Tribolium castaneum: one gene and its partner. The protein of the gene in region 2 purifies or fractionates together with the protein of the main gene of each other region. This does not show direct contact. Links are inferred from orthologs where the notes say so. Each region holds a gene or a part of one and is shown on either strand. Other genes may lie near its edges.

Region 1 (4,812 bases), on a different chromosome or scaffold from region 2:
TGAAGAAAATGGACGTTGGAGGATTATCTGGTAAGTTCAAAACACACCAAACAAACTAAATCTACTGAAAGAAAATCCGCAGACCCGTACGTGAAGATCGCTCTAGTACAGAACGGAAAGAGGCTAAAGAAGAAGAAGACCAGCATCAAGAAGTGCACACTGAACCCGTATTACAATGAGTCGTTCACTTTTGAAGTACCGTTCGAACAAATTCAGGTACTACCACTACTTTTGGTCCTACTTCAAAAAATCAAACCGAAACTTTCAGAAAGTTAACTTGGTGGTAACTGTGGTGGACTACGACAGGATTGGTACCTCGGAACCTATTGGTAAAGTCGTCTTGGGTTACAACGCAAGCGGAACCGAACTGCGCCACTGGTCTGACATGTTAGCATCGCCGCGCAGGCCCATCGCCCAGTGGCACACCCTCAAAGACCCAGAGGACGAGAAGAAGGACTAAGCTGGTCGCTTACAACGCTGATTTATTCAAACACTATAAGATTTACTCATAAAGATATTGGTTCCCTAGCATGAGAAAACGTCGCGTTACTTAATTTACTTAAAAGGAAAACAGTTATAAGTGTATATTTGTAACATCATAGATGTCAGTAACATATATTTTATAATAACTACTTGAAGGAAATATTCGATGTAACTCTCGGGACTACCTAATTTATTATTTTTCCCGAAAACAGGTTACTCAGCTTGCCTTCAACGAACTACTGTTTCTGTAAATAGATCGCCTTCTTCCAAACCGTTTTTCGTTTCGAAATTGTAACACCCACATTGAAACAGACGCGGAAGAGTCGCCAATGAGTATTAGACGATTAGATCATACAGACAATAGAAATTTGATAGCTTGTAGAACAGTTGAAATTACTTTGCAAATTTTAATGGACCGGAGCACAAAAAACTTTCGAATCTCAATCCCACAATGGGCGCTATTGCAATTTGTGGATTATTATTGCCTATTTACCACCAAAACAACGATACGACGACAAAAGGCGCATTGTTGGGATTGCGTCAGCATTGAGACATGCTGTTTTAAACAACGTAGAGTAGAATTCCGTTCCAAAATTTTATTTGGCGGTACCCTGACCAAAAATCACACGGTCCAGGGTACCAAACAGAAAAAATGATATTATTCTTCCTCTTTTCTTGTATATACCTATAAATAATGTTACAATGTTGTGTAAAATAAAAAAGTATGTAAACAGTATAGAGAAGTGTTACGGCCCCTCTTATGTATGTACCCTCCCAAACACCAGTATATGGGCCCAAGTTATTTATTTAGTAAGAAATCAGCACACACCTAGCTCTAATACCGAAGAAATTTGGTAATCATCAATGCGTGATCTTATTTTGTTATCAGGTGGTGACAATTGTAGTTTGCACGAGCTTCTTGGAGTGGCAATATCTTAGGAATGTAATTGTACGTGATCTTAGGTTTAGTTAAACAAAGAAAACAAAAACTGTAAACGGCTTTCCTTATCTAGTCATAGCAAAATAGCACTTTATTATCATTATTATTACATTGTATAGTTAATTTTTCAATGTTATTAAAGAACAATAAGTATGATAATATTATTATATTGTGAAATTAAATAAAATGTGGCAACCTTGCTCTTGTTAAGTAGACAAAAAATAAATAAATCATATCACTCGTCCTGTTGACCACTTTGTGTGTGTGTTTCATCAATCACAGATCATATCTCCTCTTTAAAGTTCTGTACTTCTTCAGCATGTACAACGTTTCCAACTCTTTCACTATATACTGCCCATGGGCAATCATTTTCTTTATTTTTTCTGGATCTTTCTCATCTTTATTTTTCATGAATGCTTTATGTAAGCGCGTTCGAAAAAACTCATAACCAGACGGATAATCTTTCCCCAGGTGCAGCAACTAAAAAATGTCAATTTTAAAGCTCACTCTGTATACACAATATTTTGGAGCCATGCTGTATACTAAACAACACAAAAAACCACACTTACTGTTTTGTAAAGCTGAATCACTTCCTTGCGTAAAGACATGTTAAAATGAGTCCGGGTAGTGTTAAAAACCGCACAGAAACACAAAATATTGTTTTTTTGAACTTTAACCCTTGAGAAGATAATTACGTTGGCAACTCGAAAATCCCTTCGAAATCATATGGTTGTCAGTTACTTTTAACCTCAATTACTGACAGCTGTTAACCCTTCAGTAATTTCTTAAATAATCACAGAAAAATGGAACAAAAACAAACAGACGTGCACTTGCGTGCAATGTTGAATAGCCCTGCACGTTTTACTCCAGCTGTCCCTACCCCGGACTGGTCCGCAGGCCCAGCTGTGCCCCCTTCAGTAAGTCCACTATTAACTTTCCCCATTTATTATGTTAATATTAGCCTCAGATTCCCGGAAAATCTAACATGATTGTGGCAACTCCTGGTTCAGCAGCTGGTGAACCTCATACAAACATAACAATACAGTAAGTAAATTAAAAAATGGATTTTTTCTCTAATGCAATTCTCGTAGAAATTGCGTAACCACGGTTGATCTCAATACAAAACTAGACCTGGCGTTAATTAACGCGAGGACCAGAAACTCGGAATATAACCCAGCACGGTTTCATGGGTTAATTATGAGACTTAGAGATCCAAGAACCACAGCTTTGATATTCCAGACTGGTAAAATTGTATGCACTGGGGCTAAAAGCGAGCAAGATGCGCTCCTGGCGTCTAAAAAGTTTGCCCGGATTATACAAAAATTGGGCTTTGATGTATGTTTTAATTTCTGATGAAGTGGCCTATGACTTTGAAGTTAAGTTGGCAGCAATTTCAAAGTCATAGACCACTTTGACCCGGCATTTAAAATATCCTTTTTAGATCAAATTTGACAACTTTAAGATACAGAATCTGGTGGCGACGTGCGATTTGAGATTCCCCATAAAATTGGAAAGTTTAAGTTTATTGCATGGACAGTTTTGTAGTTACGAACCTGAACTTTTTCCTGGAATAATCTACCGCATGATTAAACCACACTTGTGTTTGCTTATTTTTGTCAATGGGAAAATTGTTTTCACAGGCTCCAAGTCGCGAGAAGGAATTAAGGAATCGCTGGATAACATTTACCCAATTTTACGTAGCTTTAAGAAAAATTAAGTAGACTGGTTCTTTGAGATATTACTCTGAGAAATTTTTAATAATGGATATTGGTCCATAGAGGGCACTGGCAACAATTTCTCTCTATTACGCAAATGACGTAATAAAATTATTTTTTACACGTGTATTCCTCACCGTAATTATTTCTTGATTCAAATTAAGACTTCTACGCCCTGTTATTGTATTTATGTCAAAGGTTTTATAGATTTTTAAAATAGTTAATAGAGCGATGGTATTAGTTTTACCGCTATTTTACAGTGAAGTACTAATATTAAAATCGATCACCTGAGGGCGCAACAGTCATAATTTGAATCGGAAATTAAGTCAATCTTTGTGAGCAATTACTCAAAACACGAGTTTTTATTTAGGTGGGCGTTAATGGCCGTAGACATACGTAAGGCTTCAAACAGCCAATTTTGTTTTATTAAGTTTTCTTCGATTTTATTTTGTTAATTGAAAATAAATTGTACTTTTGTGAATCTAGCGTATTTCAATATCGATTGAACTTTGTTCATTCCAAGGCAATAATCCGAACCAAAAGGTTGAAACTCCCCTTTATTATTCCTCTTTTGCCTTCTCCTTTTCTTTGTACAAGATAGAAAGGATAAATTTGATCAAATCGTACCCTGTGAGATTTTTCTAACTCAGATAAACTGTTTTATAACAATACATATGTTAGGTCGTTAATTTATTTATTATTGTTAGATTAGGCCACTTAGGATCACGGTTTATCTGTATTGTATTTTATTGTTTGTACATTTTTTGTTAGCAATAAACTGCGTTTGATATTCCATAACTTTTTTATTGGAGACAAAGAACAATCTTTCACGACTGGAATAACCCGTAAACTTTGTTTTACTTTGGGAGATTAGTAAATGCAATTCAGGGGTGAATGTCCCACCGGCAAATATAGATTTGGGAATCGGTGGCGCCAGTGCTGAAAACTCGCCACATATCGACAAATCTTGCTTTTATTTTATTATGACGAGAGTAAACAGCGCGATTTTTCACTGTTATTATTCCGTGATCAGTTGTTGTTTGCCAGAAATAGCTCAAAGGTGAAGCATGTTTAAAAGAACAATAAATCGAAGCGCTAAAATTAAGCCAGGGGTAATAATTGCGATGAAATTCAGGTCAACTTAATTTCGCGAGAAACAAACAACGCGGCCCTGGCCGCAACAATTAGATTCGGTCCATTAATAACAAAACCATCCTCTCGGTTTCGATAAAATGTCCTAGCTCGTAATCAATTTAGGGAATAATTGAACGAATTTGTTCATGCACCTTGACCTTTTCACGTAATTGTCTGTTATATGAACATGACAAATCGTTGTGAAAGCAAACAACTGGGCCACGTGGCTGCGATGAGTGACTTAAATTCCGAGGGATTAGTAATTTTTGCCTAATAATTGAATTTTTCTATTTTAAGCTCAATCGATGCGAACCGAAGCTCTGTGTCGGTTTTTAATCAAAAAAATATGTTTTTTAAGCCCAACGCTATTTCCCGACAGATATGATAACGCAATAATTAATAAAAAAAATCATCGCGCTGCTGTTCTCATCAAGATAAGTGAGATTCGTTGTTTTGACGTCAAAGCTCAAGTTTAGTGTTGACGCCAGGACGAAACCGTTGTCCTGGTAACAGACTGCCTGGAAATTCGTTTATCCTATG
Region 2 (5,189 bases):
AAATAAGGAGTGGTAAGGCATGGCTTGATTTACATTTAATAATTCACAAGAGTAAAATTTTTACCATAAGCCGTATTTTTCCAAAGTCGAGACAAAAATTTGAATTTCAGAATAACTAGATCTAGTTTGCCAGTGCTCTTAAAAGTGGAAGGATTTGAGATTCTAATCAAGTTTTTTTGGCATTTTTTCTCGTGCCAAGTCGCAAATTCGTTAATAATATTGGTCTTTCGATAACATATTTCCGTACGTATTAGGTAATTAGCATCACATTAGTGACTAAAAACTCGCAAAAAACTCGATCTTTCCTCATTTTTATAAACAAGTTGTATGAGGCCCCAAGAGTGCAAACTTGGGTTTTTGTAGCTAAATTTTTTTGTAGCTATTACAGTCAAACCTTAATAAGTCGAACTTCGAAAATTTTTTGGACTTTTGAGTCTATAGTAACAATTTTTTTAAATACTTTTGCAGCAAACAACATTTAGAAGCAGCGTTTATCTTAGAATGATAGACATACGAAATAATAAAAAATATTTTTCAGAGCCCACTATCTATTGTATTTTTTTGTTGAAAAATAATGTTTTTTGTATACTGCTTATCATTAAAACATATAATCAAATAAATTGCCATTAAAATTTGAAGTTTCTTTTTTTTCTAGTTATTTTTGATATTTTGCTGGCATTAATAACTGTTTTTTCGGGTTATCGAAGTTTGACTGTAGTTTAATAAAAAAAAACGTTTATCCTTGTGGTTAAAGTGTTATTTTGTCTATTCAAAAGAGTTGATAAAGAAATTAACATCTGCTGAAAAAAAAGATTTTTTAATAAATTTGAGTTAAGGATGAATAATTTCCGGAATATTAAAATATTAACATTGTAAAATTTGTTACAAGTTGCTGTAGACGTAGTGAATGCTGATGAAATGGGCAAAAAACACGTATTTATTGGTTAACGGTTAATTGCGGTTTATTATCCACATTTGAACGTAACAAAGGATGATTTTTACTATAGTGATGGTAACTGTTCACTGCAATTTGGCACAGACGTTAAAACACCATTATTTGAATTTTTTGCTTTGTGATGCATACATTGTCTCATAAATCCGTTTTAAATTCCGGACTTGCAAAGCTGCGACCTTTACTAACAGGAACTGACAATTATTATCTTCCTTATAAGAATTTTTCTCATGTGGACAGTCAATGCTGTTACACATTTGCATACACGATCGTCATTCCATCATCTTCTTAAAAAATCCGTTGCAAAAGAATCGCTAATGGCGTCCCCATTTATTTAACTATTTAGACAGTCGTTGCAAAAATTTTTAATGCCACTCGAGTCGATTGTTAGAATTTAGCAATTTGTTTGCAGATGTGGCGACTGTAAATTTTGGATATTGAGTCATTGCGTTGAAAAAATGGCATTGCCGTGGTGACATTGTAAGTCTGCAGTAATTTCAGGTCATTAAAATCAAGCGCTCCGACATTGAATCGCAAAATCTCGATAAACAATACAATATTTCGCCCGCAAATACATGTTGCAAAATCTTTCGATTAGAAAGCAGGTATCCTGTAACAAGTGCCATTACAAAACTGAAAAAACCACGAGTGAATGTATATCGGTCTCGGCAAAGTAAGCGTGACTTGCAATTTCACTCCAATGGCTTTGAAAAAATTATTCGAGCCGAAATTTGAAATCCAGTCAAGGACAGTGATTCGGCGATTGCAGCATCAAACGGTACTTGCTACAAACATCTATTGCCAAACCAACTGTTCATTACTGACATATTTTCCCAAGTCAACGACCTGTCAGCAGGTAATGTAACCCAATATGTTACAAAGGTGCATTTGCTCGGCCATTGTCGAGTCGTTTGTTCGCCCTCTGCTATGCCACCTCGTAAAAATCATCGGCCCTTAAGAAAACCGACACGAAATGGATATTACGCTGGAAGTAGGTCAGCTTTTTATCAGACTTCGTCACACTCCACCGACCACTTCCTCGATTGATTCGTTGGGAAATTTTGACGACTTTTCGAAAATTTTACGTGACTTCTGACACGACCAACAGGGCCGGACTGGTTATTTTTTAACTTACTGAGTCGCGAAAAACTCTTTTTGCGCCGACTCCTTTGGATAAATAAGAAAGAAGAGAAAAAAACTGGGTAGTTTTGAATGTCTATGTTTCCTACCCCGGTGGGCTTGAGCAGCCAGGCCGGGCCTGCCGATTACATAATTCCAGAATATTTGCCTGCAATGAAAAATCAATTTCGATGTATTTAACGTCTCATTGTTTGGAATTAATTGCAAATTAAGTCAATTCAGACTGTTTATATGCCTCGGGAGAGACCACCAAGGGAAAGTAGTTTAAGCACGAAGTTACAAATAAACACGATGCGATTTGAATCCGATATTAAAATTGTTGAGACACAATTTCGTCGGTGGCTTCCGTCGAGAAGTGCTGAATCGGTTTCCACTAATTAAAAATTCTTGTTTTAGTTAAGAGCGACCTTTCGACCGGTGACACTAGCATTGTATTGTAAAAAGTACAAAGACTGGCGCACCTGACCGTGAAAAAACTCGGTTAATTACAATTTTCGAAATTATTTTACTTTCTGAGACGGTTTGGTTGCGCATCGATCGCCTGCTGCGAAGATAAGAGAGCAAACATCGCGGAACAGTATTTTTCTCGTAGGACATTAAAGAAAAATGTACTTTTGTTTGAGTGTTTGCACATAAAATATTGCCTGCTCCTTATCTTTATTACACGGAATGTTGATCGAACAATGAATTACGGCTGCAAGAATTCGATTCCAATTGATTGTATTTAAATAACGGGCCTTCAATCAGCCATTAACATGGTTTTAATGTTTTTACATTTTTTTGAACAAACAATTTGATAAACTTTGTTGTTTGTAAACATCACCTTGAATGATATTACAGACTGCATAAAGCTACTTAAAAGAAGCAGATTGTTGAAGCGTGAGTCAAGTAAATAAAATTCTTGAAATTTAATTAATCAAACTATAACTTATTGAAATTTTCGTTTAGTCGCATTTTAATCCCGATTGAAGTAAAAAAGATTCGGTCGCTTTTTCGGGCTAAAAGCGTCTTAAAATTATTTCAGGTTCGCGGCATCATAATCTTCCATCACAATTAAAGCTTTATTTCTTAAGTACATAAAAGTTTATTTCGGGTTTAAAGCCATCCCAAGTTTGATTGTTTCTCTCGCACGCAAACTTTTCCATTCGAGTATAAATCAGGCAGTAATTCATAATTTCTTTAATGCTAATTATTGCAATTATTTTAAACGGTCATTCTGTTTACACGAATTCCAGTTATTTGTAATAACGTTGCAAGGTTTTTAAAAAAATCAATTCAATACACGGAAATATCTTGTTGCGTTTTATTAATGTTTAGGTGAATCAAAATACAAGAAGATTATCGATGTTGTCATGTGCAATTACCGGGAACAAGGTTTAAATGTTTTTAATTATTGTTTTGTACGAAGGAAACGTTTATGTCTATTGCAAACGAGAAGAATTTTTAATTATTTTACGATGATTTCTACAAGTGGAGTGAACGTAATGTCATGAAAATGTCTACATCACTGCCCTAGAGCAACAACCAATTGACTGAGGCACGATTTAAATAATTACAGTTCGAAAAAATCACAAGGCGAGGTTTTACTGTACGCGGTTTATCAATCAAATTTTGACGTGTTCGCCTTGCTGACCCACAATTCATAATCGAGAAAGTATGAAAGTATGAAAATTCGTCATTATCAAAAATCCGTCGGAATTTCATGCTCCATAAAACGAGCGAATTAATTAAAATAAATTCAAGCAATTACGCTGAACTTAGTACCATCGCACATTTTGCAATTAGCACCACGTGCAAGTCAATTCAATACTTTTCTCTTCACTTTTCCTCTCTTGCTCCATATTATTGTAACCTCCGGACGTGTGAACTTTTCCCCTCTGACGACACAATAACAACCGCCACTTTCTCATCATAAACAAAGATCACACGACCAATGATCGATTCCAGACCCTTGCCTCTATATTTTACGCTTCGCTGCTAAACTGGAATTCGGCTCGAAAACACAACAGGTCGCCAACACCGCCCTCAGACTCGTACAAAGAATGAAAAGGGACTCGATACATTCGGGACGACGTCCTTCAGGACTCTGCGGGGCAGGTAATCGACGCAATTTTCCATCAACAAATTGAATTTTTACAACACCATTTCAATACACAGCCCTTCTCATCGCAGCAAGATTGCACGAATTCGGGCGCTCCGCCAGCGATATCGTCAAAATCGTCAAAGTGCACGAGTCCACCTTGAGGAAAAGGTGCGTAGGTAACCGTCATTGTGACGGTTACCCCGAAAATAACTGTCATTTGTGACGGTTACCATCTAGTAACCGTCACCTATAACGGTTATCAACAATTTTAGCGCCACAGGTTAACGTGGTTATTCTTTTTGTTGACGGTTACTGGAAAGCAGTTGGGGTTATTTTGCAGACTGATCGAGTTCGGGGACACCCCGAGCAGCGCCCTCACGCTGGAGGAGTTCATGACGGTGGACCTGGAGGAGGAGCAGGACCCGCCGTCGTTTAAAGCGGCTCGAAAAAAGGACAAAGAGCGCCTTCAGAGGGTAATTTTCGTCGTTTTGTGTGTGTGTTTACTCGCTTTTTGTGTCGCAGTTGATGGAAGAGGAAGCCGAGAGTATAACTGAGCTCCAGCAGGAGATTGAGATGCAGTTGAATAGAGATGCGAAAATGAAATCGAGAAAAAGTAAGTATCAAAGCGAAGCGCGCTCCGGTGAAGTGTAATTTTTCCGGTCGTCGTGTTGACAAAAATCAAAGTTTGCCGGATTTGAAACGACTCTTATTTTGGATTCGGGAGTCCGGTGTGTTAATTAAGTTGGCTCGAGGCTGTGCTTTATGTTGCAGAGAAGGAGAGGGACACGGAGGAGATACAGGAGACCAATCGGTTTATTCGGGAGTCGACGATGGGGACCATCAATCAGATTATTCAAGAGGAGGCGATCGAGGATCCAGAAATCGCGAAAGAACCGGTCAAGGAGTTGGGTGAGTGATTAAAAAAGTCGACGAAAAAATTCATTATTTAGTCAAACAAGCAATAAAAACGAATTACGGATAAAGGCGCATAACGCGAATAAAAAAATGATTAAT

What was found. The genes of interacting proteins can lie anywhere in the genome.
Region 1: the proteins of Brf (region 2) and Trf purify together in Drosophila melanogaster (affinity purification with mass spectrometry; 3 studies listed by BioGRID, with this or other methods). This does not show direct contact. The link is inferred for Tribolium castaneum from reciprocal best matches to the Drosophila melanogaster genes Brf and Trf.

What each region holds. Positions count from the first base shown.
Region 1 is NC_087402.1:7,354,593-7,359,404, reverse strand, and holds Trf (uncharacterized protein Trf), read left to right. Parts: upstream 1-2,204; 5' UTR 2,205-2,226; coding exon 2,227-2,340; intron 2,341-2,384; coding exon 2,385-2,467; intron 2,468-2,514; coding exon 2,515-2,758; intron 2,759-2,864; coding exon 2,865-3,140; 3' UTR 3,141-3,619; downstream 3,620-4,812. Other genes in the region: Syt1 (synaptotagmin 1), read left to right, coding at 1-30, 83-216, 269-460; osi (electron transfer flavoprotein regulatory factor 1), read right to left, coding at 1,700-1,903, 1,993-2,031. UniProt on the Drosophila melanogaster protein: Acts as a transcription factor. Binds to the TATA box promoter element which lies close to the position of transcription initiation. May be essential for embryonic development.
Region 2 is NC_087396.1:22,068,811-22,073,999, reverse strand, and holds part of Brf (transcription factor IIIB 90 kDa subunit), read left to right. Parts: intron 1-4,039; coding exon 4,040-4,189; intron 4,190-4,249; coding exon 4,250-4,343; intron 4,344-4,515; coding exon 4,516-4,648; intron 4,649-4,697; coding exon 4,698-4,788; intron 4,789-4,946; coding exon 4,947-5,084; intron 5,085-5,189.